Saccharomyces cerevisiae S288C: one gene and its partner. Changing the gene in region 1 together with any one later gene gives a genetic interaction. Each region holds a gene or a part of one and is shown on either strand. Other genes may lie near its edges. The genes, in order: HEL2 and ENO2.

Region 1 (4,638 bases):
TCCAAATATCAATTCCTGGCCAGGTTGTTTTAATTCACATAAGTCTGTCCAAACACGTGTAGCACCTAGATAATTACCAAGGTGGAAACACCCAGTTGGCTGAATCATACTAAATACCGTAGCATTACTATGAAGCGCTTCGGAATTCAGCTTAAAATCGGCACGTTGCACTGTGCTTATCCACCTTTTACTGATTAACTTCAGAACCGCCTGCTTATTCGACATCTTCCTTGTAAAAGATAGTGTAAATATTTATCAAAACCTGATTCACTCCTTAGTAACGTAAAACCTTTGAGATGGTGCAGGTAGCCTGTAATAAATCATAATACCCTTTTCTACTTTCTCGAAGCCGATTTTATCACGTGAAAAACAAAAAATACCTTTGCACTTCTATCTTGTTTTGTGTTGCCTTTATAAGGAGAAAAAGATCTTCAAGAAAAGGTCATACTAATTGTAGAAACGTTTGAATTTAAGGAATCTGACTCTGATGTGCATAGCAGTGTTACTACTATTTATTTTCTTGAAAAATACCATCGTGATTGCCTTCAAATAGGTCATCTAAAACTTTCTGCTCTCAGCGGGCCGTGTTTTGAAAAATCTCACATCGAATATTGTATCGTCTTTGCCTCATTAATTGCGAATAAATACTAGATTTGTAGATATCACAAATCAAAATCGGGCTATACCACGACATTTTAATAGTTCAATTGGTTTACTTATTTGGTAATGGCGTCTATCAATCTGATTAAGTCTTTGAAACTTTACAAGGAAAAGATATGGTCTTTTGACTTTTCTCAAGGTATATTAGCAACAGGTTCAACTGATCGAAAAATTAAGCTAGTTAGCGTGAAATATGACGATTTTACGTTAATTGATGTGCTAGATGAGACTGCTCATAAAAAGGCGATTCGATCTGTGGCGTGGAGACCTCACACTTCGCTGTTAGCGGCTGGCTCTTTTGATTCCACTGTATCTATCTGGGCTAAGGAAGAATCTGCTGACAGAACTTTCGAGATGGACCTGCTAGCTATTATCGAAGGTCACGAAAATGAAGTAAAAGGTGTAGCGTGGTCGAATGATGGATATTACCTAGCAACCTGTTCCAGAGATAAAAGCGTGTGGATATGGGAAACAGATGAAAGTGGCGAGGAATATGAGTGTATTAGTGTTTTGCAAGAACATTCACAAGACGTTAAACATGTTATATGGCATCCATCTGAAGCATTACTGGCTTCAAGTTCTTATGATGACACCGTCAGGATATGGAAAGACTATGACGATGACTGGGAATGTGTTGCTGTCTTAAATGGCCATGAAGGAACTGTTTGGTCTTCTGATTTTGACAAGACTGAGGGCGTGTTTAGACTGTGCAGTGGAAGCGACGATTCCACTGTACGGGTATGGAAATACATGGGTGACGACGAGGATGATCAACAAGAATGGGTTTGTGAAGCTATTCTCCCGGATGTACACAAAAGACAGGTATACAATGTTGCATGGGGCTTTAATGGCCTCATTGCTAGTGTAGGAGCGGATGGAGTACTAGCGGTCTATGAAGAAGTAGACGGAGAATGGAAAGTTTTTGCTAAACGTGCATTATGTCATGGAGTTTATGAAATCAACGTTGTGAAGTGGTTGGAGTTAAATGGTAAAACTATACTTGCAACAGGCGGTGACGACGGGATCGTAAATTTCTGGTCTCTAGAAAAAGCAGCGTAGATGTAGAAGCAAGAGTACAATTCAGGAACTCATATTAACACAGTGATCGATCTGAATTCTAAAAATAAACTTAATGACGATTTTTCTACCTAGTTACATAAACCTTTGTATCACTATAACGCAATTCTGTCATGTGTGACGGAGTGACCTCGTTATACATATCCCTGCATTAAAAGCATGCGGTAAAAACTGAAATTTAAAAATGAAAAAAAAAAAAATTAGATATTCGGAAGACTTGTAATTAAGCATTATCTCGAATAAAGAAAGGTTACACTGAAAGTTTCATACTCGCGGTCACTCTTAATAATAGCTATATTTTCTGATTTTCTCTTAAGATTTTGAAAAGGGCATCTGAACGACTGCCCACTCAGCCATATTCAACAAATCGTCGAGCGCATACCTAGCTGAAAAAGATCCATAAAGTGCATTTTGATACAGTCTCTTTCGTCGAAAAAATAGTGGCTATACTTCTTTTCAAGAATTAGGATGAGCGAATCAGTGAAAGAAAACGTTACTCCGACACGTAACTTCCGTCGTACTCAAGGGCCCCAAAATAATACAAAACCTCACAACGACAGGAAGAATTTCAGAAGAAAGCAAAAGAAAAATAACCTTTCTGCTGAACCCAACCTCACCACTTCAAGCGCAGATGATACTGATGAAGAAAATGAATTATGTGTAATTTGTGCGCGCAAGTTAACATACGTATCTCTAACACCATGCCATCATAAGACATGCCATATCTGTGGTTTCAGACAACGAGCTTTGTACAACAAGAAAAGCTGTTTGATTTGCAGAACGGAGAATGAAGAAGTCATGTTTACCGATCGCATAGATGGTGATATTTCAGATAAATATAACTTTTGCGAAAAAAATGAAAAATATGGAATAAATTTCACTAGCGAAGAGGTTGCTACCGAAACACTAAATCTTTTAAAATTTTTTTGTCCCCTATCGAAGGATGAACAAGTTTGTGACTTTGGTAGTTTCAAGAAATATAATGAACACTTGAAATCTGAACATAACAGAATGATCTGTTTAATATGTGCAACCCATAAGCATGCATTCCCTTGTGAGCTTGAAATATTCACCCAAAATCAATTACGCAACCATCAAACTAAGGGTAATTCAGAAGGATTCAAAGGCCACCCTATGTGTGCCTTCTGTTCCGGAAAACGATTTTATTCAGACGACGAATTGTACATTCACATGAGAAATCAGCATGAAAAGTGCCATATTTGTGATAAGATGAACCCCGCTTCTCCTCAATACTTTAAGGATTATAATCAGCTTTTTGACCACTTTAAACATTCGCATTACGTTTGCACCGTCCAAACTTGCTTAGATAACAAGTTTGTCGTATTTAAAGACGAGTTGGAGTTACAAGCCCACATTTTGCAGGAGCATGGTAATATCCTGAAGGGAAAGCCAAAGTTTTTCCAGTCAGAACTTTCTACTTTTATCTCGGCTCCATCTAGAGTGATCAGGGAAAGAGATGATTACGACCTTCCATCTATATCTTCCCTACCGGGTTCATCATCCGGCTCTAGAACTGATGTGAGATCTGCTAGTTCTCCCGAGGAAAGTAGACTAAGATTGGCAGAAAGAGCAAAATACTATCTGGAAAATTCCAAAGAAGACTTCAATAAGTTTTCTTCTTATAACGAAGATTATTCTAAAGGTCGCTTAAGTGCTGAAAAATTATTGGAATCATATAAATTGTTATTCACAAAACCAAATGCGGATGTATATTTATTGATTCATAACTTAGCTGAAACCTTTCCCAAAAACTCCTCCAAATACAATAATCTGAACGCCATATATGAACAAAGAGAGCAAACCCTTGCACGACAAACTTCACTACCTTCTTTATCTAGTGATTCTTCCCTTTCAATGTCAATAGGCAGGGGCCATTGGGGTGGAACAAACGATGGGGGCAGCGCTGGTGCAGCATTAGGCGTTAGGAATATCAAAAATCTTCCAACCCTGAAAAGTCCTTCAGCGTCGTATGATCCCTTTGCAACCACCGTAAAAAAAAACACTCTGAGACCCGTGCAAAACATTAAAAGAACTACACCTCAATCAGTTAGTTATCGAACTTCCACTAATACAGTCGCCTTCTCTCCAACCTATTTGGAAAGTAAAAAGGGTTCCTCTTCTACTTCTCTAAATAATAGCAAAGATAAATTGAAAAGTCTCAACCTACCTCAACTACCTCCACCAAAGCCAAAGGTGCAAATTCCAGGTCTGAACAGACCCCAAATTGCTGATCCTAAGCAGTGGGGTAAAAAGTCAAGCACACAAGATACTAACGTGCACGATAATTTGAGGGAATTGAACACAACTAGTGGAGGAAATAAAAAGAAAGGCAAACAAAAGCAGCTGTTATTCCACATTGGTGTATAGTTGGAAATATATTTCTAACCTGTAACTGACAATAGCATTAGAGAAATGAAAGTCTTAAATAAAATTCCGATAAAGAAAAACTTATTTAATTAATTAATATAATTACAAGACTAAAAAGCATTATTTCCCCTTCGCGTTTTACTTCTCCTGCTCAGACGTCTGCGTTATTTCTGAAAAAGGCCTGTGGACAATGCTAAAAGAGTAGTCAAATTATTGATTAGTTCCTCTATTGCCGCAGGACCAGAATTTCCTGTGGTTGACAGTGTTGTCTGCACAAGGGGCATTCTGGCCTCTCTTTACACCAGCTCATAAGACAACTCCAACAAAATAGATGTCCACATGGCGCGCAGCTAGGATCACTCATGTTCATGAGACATAGGATGCATTTTCTCGAGGCTTCTGGAATAAATGGCAATTGGTTTTTATCTGACAAATTTATATGAGTCAGCTGCGATTCCTTCGGTATGCCTTCTATAGATTCATGTTCTGAACGCTCCTGTAGACCAACAGACG
Region 2 (3,969 bases), on another chromosome or scaffold:
CTAATCTTGAACTTTACGTGGATAAATGTTACAGCAGAGCCAATGAAATATTTTTAAAGCTATTTTTTCAAGGTTACGATTTGATCAATGTATTAAAACATTTGCAACAAATTTTTCTTGGGTATCAATCTGGTCATAATGTTTTAAAGTTTCTAACAAAAAATATGGGTGAGTTGACCAAACACTACAGGAATGATAATAATGCAAACTATGACAAGCTGCTACAAAATTTTGAGTTAGAGAGACAATCCGAAAATCCAAACAACCTGATGAGGCAACTCCTGATGATACAGTTCGATACAGAAACACTTCCACAAGTCTTATCGCACTACCTCCAAATTTATCCAGAAGTACCTGAGAATAACTCAGCAAATGACGACAGCGACCCATTGATGCACGCGAATAATTTCAAGAATATGAATGCCATTCTTTTTGATGAATTAAGCAAAGAACGAACGGGAGCCTACCATGGATCCAATCTAGAACTATATACTCCAAAAAGCGCAATTTATCATTTAAAATTTGACATCAACATACCTTATCCATTGAATATTATTATTAGTAGGACATGCATGATAAAATACCAAATAATCCTGCGCTACCAACTAGTTTTACAATACCACTCAAGGCTTTTGGATGAGACTTGGATGGACTTAAACAAAACACCCAGCTGGAAATACAGAGGCTATTCGCACACTGTGAAGAGGAGGATAGTAAGGGCAACGAGAGTGCTGCATGCTAAGATGAACCACTTCATTAAAACCATCATGGAATATTTCAACCAAAACGTAATTGATAAAGAGGTATACTCATTAGAAAAGTGCTACAGAAATCCTACTCTTGCCGTTGCCATCCAAAATGAGCTAGAAGGTGGATTAACAAATATAATGACAAATCGTTGCTTGTCTGACTTGATTCCACTACAGTTACAAATATTTGACATTGTATATAAGTTTTGCAAGTTCATCAAATCTATGAGAGCAAAATTATGTCAACTGGACCCCGTACTATATGAGAAACACAAAAGCGGGATGATGAAAACACTAAACGAAGGCTATCGTACAAACAATGGCGGTCAGGAAGATGTTGGTTACCAAGAAGATGCCGCCCTGGAATTAATTCAGAAGCTGATTGAATACATTAGCAACGCGTCCAGCATTTTTCGGAAGTGTCTCATAAACTTTACTCAAGAGTTAAGTACTGAAAAATTCGACTTTTATGATAGTTCAAGTGTCGACGCTGCGGGTATAGAAAGGGTTCTTTACTCTATAGTACCTCCTCGCTCAGCATCTGCTTCTTCCCAAAGATGAACGCGGCGTTATGTCACTAACGACGTGCACCAACTTGCGGAAAGTGGAATCCCGTTCCAAAACTGGCATCCACTAATTGATACATCTACACACCGCACGCCTTTTTTCTGAAGCCCACTTTCGTGGACTTTGCCATATGCAAAATTCATGAAGTGTGATACCAAGTCAGCATACACCTCACTAGGGTAGTTTCTTTGGTTGTATTGATCATTTGGTTCATCGTGGTTCATTAATTTTTTTTCTCCATTGCTTTCTGGCTTTGATCTTACTATCATTTGGATTTTTGTCGAAGGTTGTAGAATTGTATGTGACAAGTGGCACCAAGCATATATAAAAAAAAAAAGCATTATCTTCCTACCAGAGTTGATTGTTAAAAACGTATTTATAGCAAACGCAATTGTAATTAATTCTTATTTTGTATCTTTTCTTCCCTTGTCTCAATCTTTTATTTTTATTTTATTTTTCTTTTCTTAGTTTCTTTCATAACACCAAGCAACTAATACTATAACATACAATAATAATGGCTGTCTCTAAAGTTTACGCTAGATCCGTCTACGACTCCCGTGGTAACCCAACCGTCGAAGTCGAATTAACCACCGAAAAGGGTGTTTTCAGATCCATTGTTCCATCTGGTGCCTCCACCGGTGTCCACGAAGCTTTGGAAATGAGAGATGAAGACAAATCCAAGTGGATGGGTAAGGGTGTTATGAACGCTGTCAACAACGTCAACAACGTCATTGCTGCTGCTTTCGTCAAGGCCAACCTAGATGTTAAGGACCAAAAGGCCGTCGATGACTTCTTGTTGTCTTTGGATGGTACCGCCAACAAGTCCAAGTTGGGTGCTAACGCTATCTTGGGTGTCTCCATGGCCGCTGCTAGAGCCGCTGCTGCTGAAAAGAACGTCCCATTGTACCAACATTTGGCTGACTTGTCTAAGTCCAAGACCTCTCCATACGTTTTGCCAGTTCCATTCTTGAACGTTTTGAACGGTGGTTCCCACGCTGGTGGTGCTTTGGCTTTGCAAGAATTCATGATTGCTCCAACTGGTGCTAAGACCTTCGCTGAAGCCATGAGAATTGGTTCCGAAGTTTACCACAACTTGAAGTCTTTGACCAAGAAGAGATACGGTGCTTCTGCCGGTAACGTCGGTGACGAAGGTGGTGTTGCTCCAAACATTCAAACCGCTGAAGAAGCTTTGGACTTGATTGTTGACGCTATCAAGGCTGCTGGTCACGACGGTAAGGTCAAGATCGGTTTGGACTGTGCTTCCTCTGAATTCTTCAAGGACGGTAAGTACGACTTGGACTTCAAGAACCCAGAATCTGACAAATCCAAGTGGTTGACTGGTGTCGAATTAGCTGACATGTACCACTCCTTGATGAAGAGATACCCAATTGTCTCCATCGAAGATCCATTTGCTGAAGATGACTGGGAAGCTTGGTCTCACTTCTTCAAGACCGCTGGTATCCAAATTGTTGCTGATGACTTGACTGTCACCAACCCAGCTAGAATTGCTACCGCCATCGAAAAGAAGGCTGCTGACGCTTTGTTGTTGAAGGTTAACCAAATCGGTACCTTGTCTGAATCCATCAAGGCTGCTCAAGACTCTTTCGCTGCCAACTGGGGTGTTATGGTTTCCCACAGATCTGGTGAAACTGAAGACACTTTCATTGCTGACTTGGTTGTCGGTTTGAGAACTGGTCAAATCAAGACTGGTGCTCCAGCTAGATCCGAAAGATTGGCTAAGTTGAACCAATTGTTGAGAATCGAAGAAGAATTGGGTGACAAGGCTGTCTACGCCGGTGAAAACTTCCACCACGGTGACAAGTTGTAAAGTGCTTTTAACTAAGAATTATTAGTCTTTTCTGCTTATTTTTTCATCATAGTTTAGAACACTTTATATTAACGAATAGTTTATGAATCTATTTAGGTTTAAAAATTGATACAGTTTTATAAGTTACTTTTTCAAAGACTCGTGCTGTCTATTGCATAATGCACTGGAAGGGGAAAAAAAAGGTGCACACGCGTGGCTTTTTCTTGAATTTGCAGTTTGAAAAATAACTACATGGATGATAAGAAAACATGGAGTACAGTCACTTTGAGAACCTTCAATCAGCTGGTAACGTCTTCGTTAATTGGATACTCAAAAAAGATGGATAGCATGAATCACAAGATGGAAGGAAATGCGGGCCACGACCACAGTGATATGCATATGGGAGATGGAGATGATACCTGTTCGATGAATATGCTATTTTCGTGGTCATACAAGAATACGTGTGTCGTCTTTGAATGGTGGCATATCAAGACCCTGCCTGGACTGATTTTAAGTTGTTTAGCAATTTTTGGTCTAGCCTACCTCTATGAGTACTTAAAGTACTGTGTCCATAAGAGACAATTATCCCAGAGAGTATTGTTACCAAATAGATCTCTGACCAAGATCAACCAAGCCGACAAAGTGTCCAATAGTATTCTATATGGTTTGCAAGTGGGATTCTCATTCATGCTCATGCTTGTATTCATGACTTATAATGGTTGGTTAATGTTAGCTGTCGTGTGTGGGGCAATATGGGGTAATTACAGCTGGTGTACTTCGTATAGTCCTGAGATAGATGACAGCTCCCTCGCCTGCCATTAAGATGGTGACAAATATTACAAATTT

Evidence for each region.
Region 2: mutations in HEL2 (region 1) and ENO2 together harm fitness more than expected from each alone (negative genetic interaction), as found in Saccharomyces cerevisiae (2 studies listed by BioGRID).

The regions. Positions count from the first base shown.
Region 1 is NC_001136.10:999,591-1,004,228, reverse strand, and holds HEL2 (E3 ubiquitin-protein ligase HEL2), read left to right. Parts: upstream 1-2,205; coding exon 2,206-4,125; downstream 4,126-4,638. Other genes in the region: tryptophan--tRNA ligase MSW1, read right to left, coding at 1-225; iron-sulfur cluster assembly protein CIA1, read left to right, coding at 727-1,719; PEX10 (ubiquitin-protein ligase peroxin 10), read right to left, coding at 4,352-4,638. UniProt on the Saccharomyces cerevisiae protein: E3 ubiquitin-protein ligase that plays a key role in the ribosome quality control (RQC), a pathway that takes place when a ribosome has stalled during translation, leading to degradation of nascent peptide chains.
Region 2 is NC_001140.6:449,497-453,465, forward strand, and holds ENO2 (phosphopyruvate hydratase ENO2), read left to right. Parts: upstream 1-1,830; coding exon 1,831-3,144; downstream 3,145-3,969. Other genes in the region: gamma-tubulin-complex subunit SPC97, read left to right, coding at 1-1,310; YHR173C (uncharacterized protein), read right to left, coding at 1,319-1,657; CTR2 (low-affinity Cu transporter), read left to right, coding at 3,376-3,945.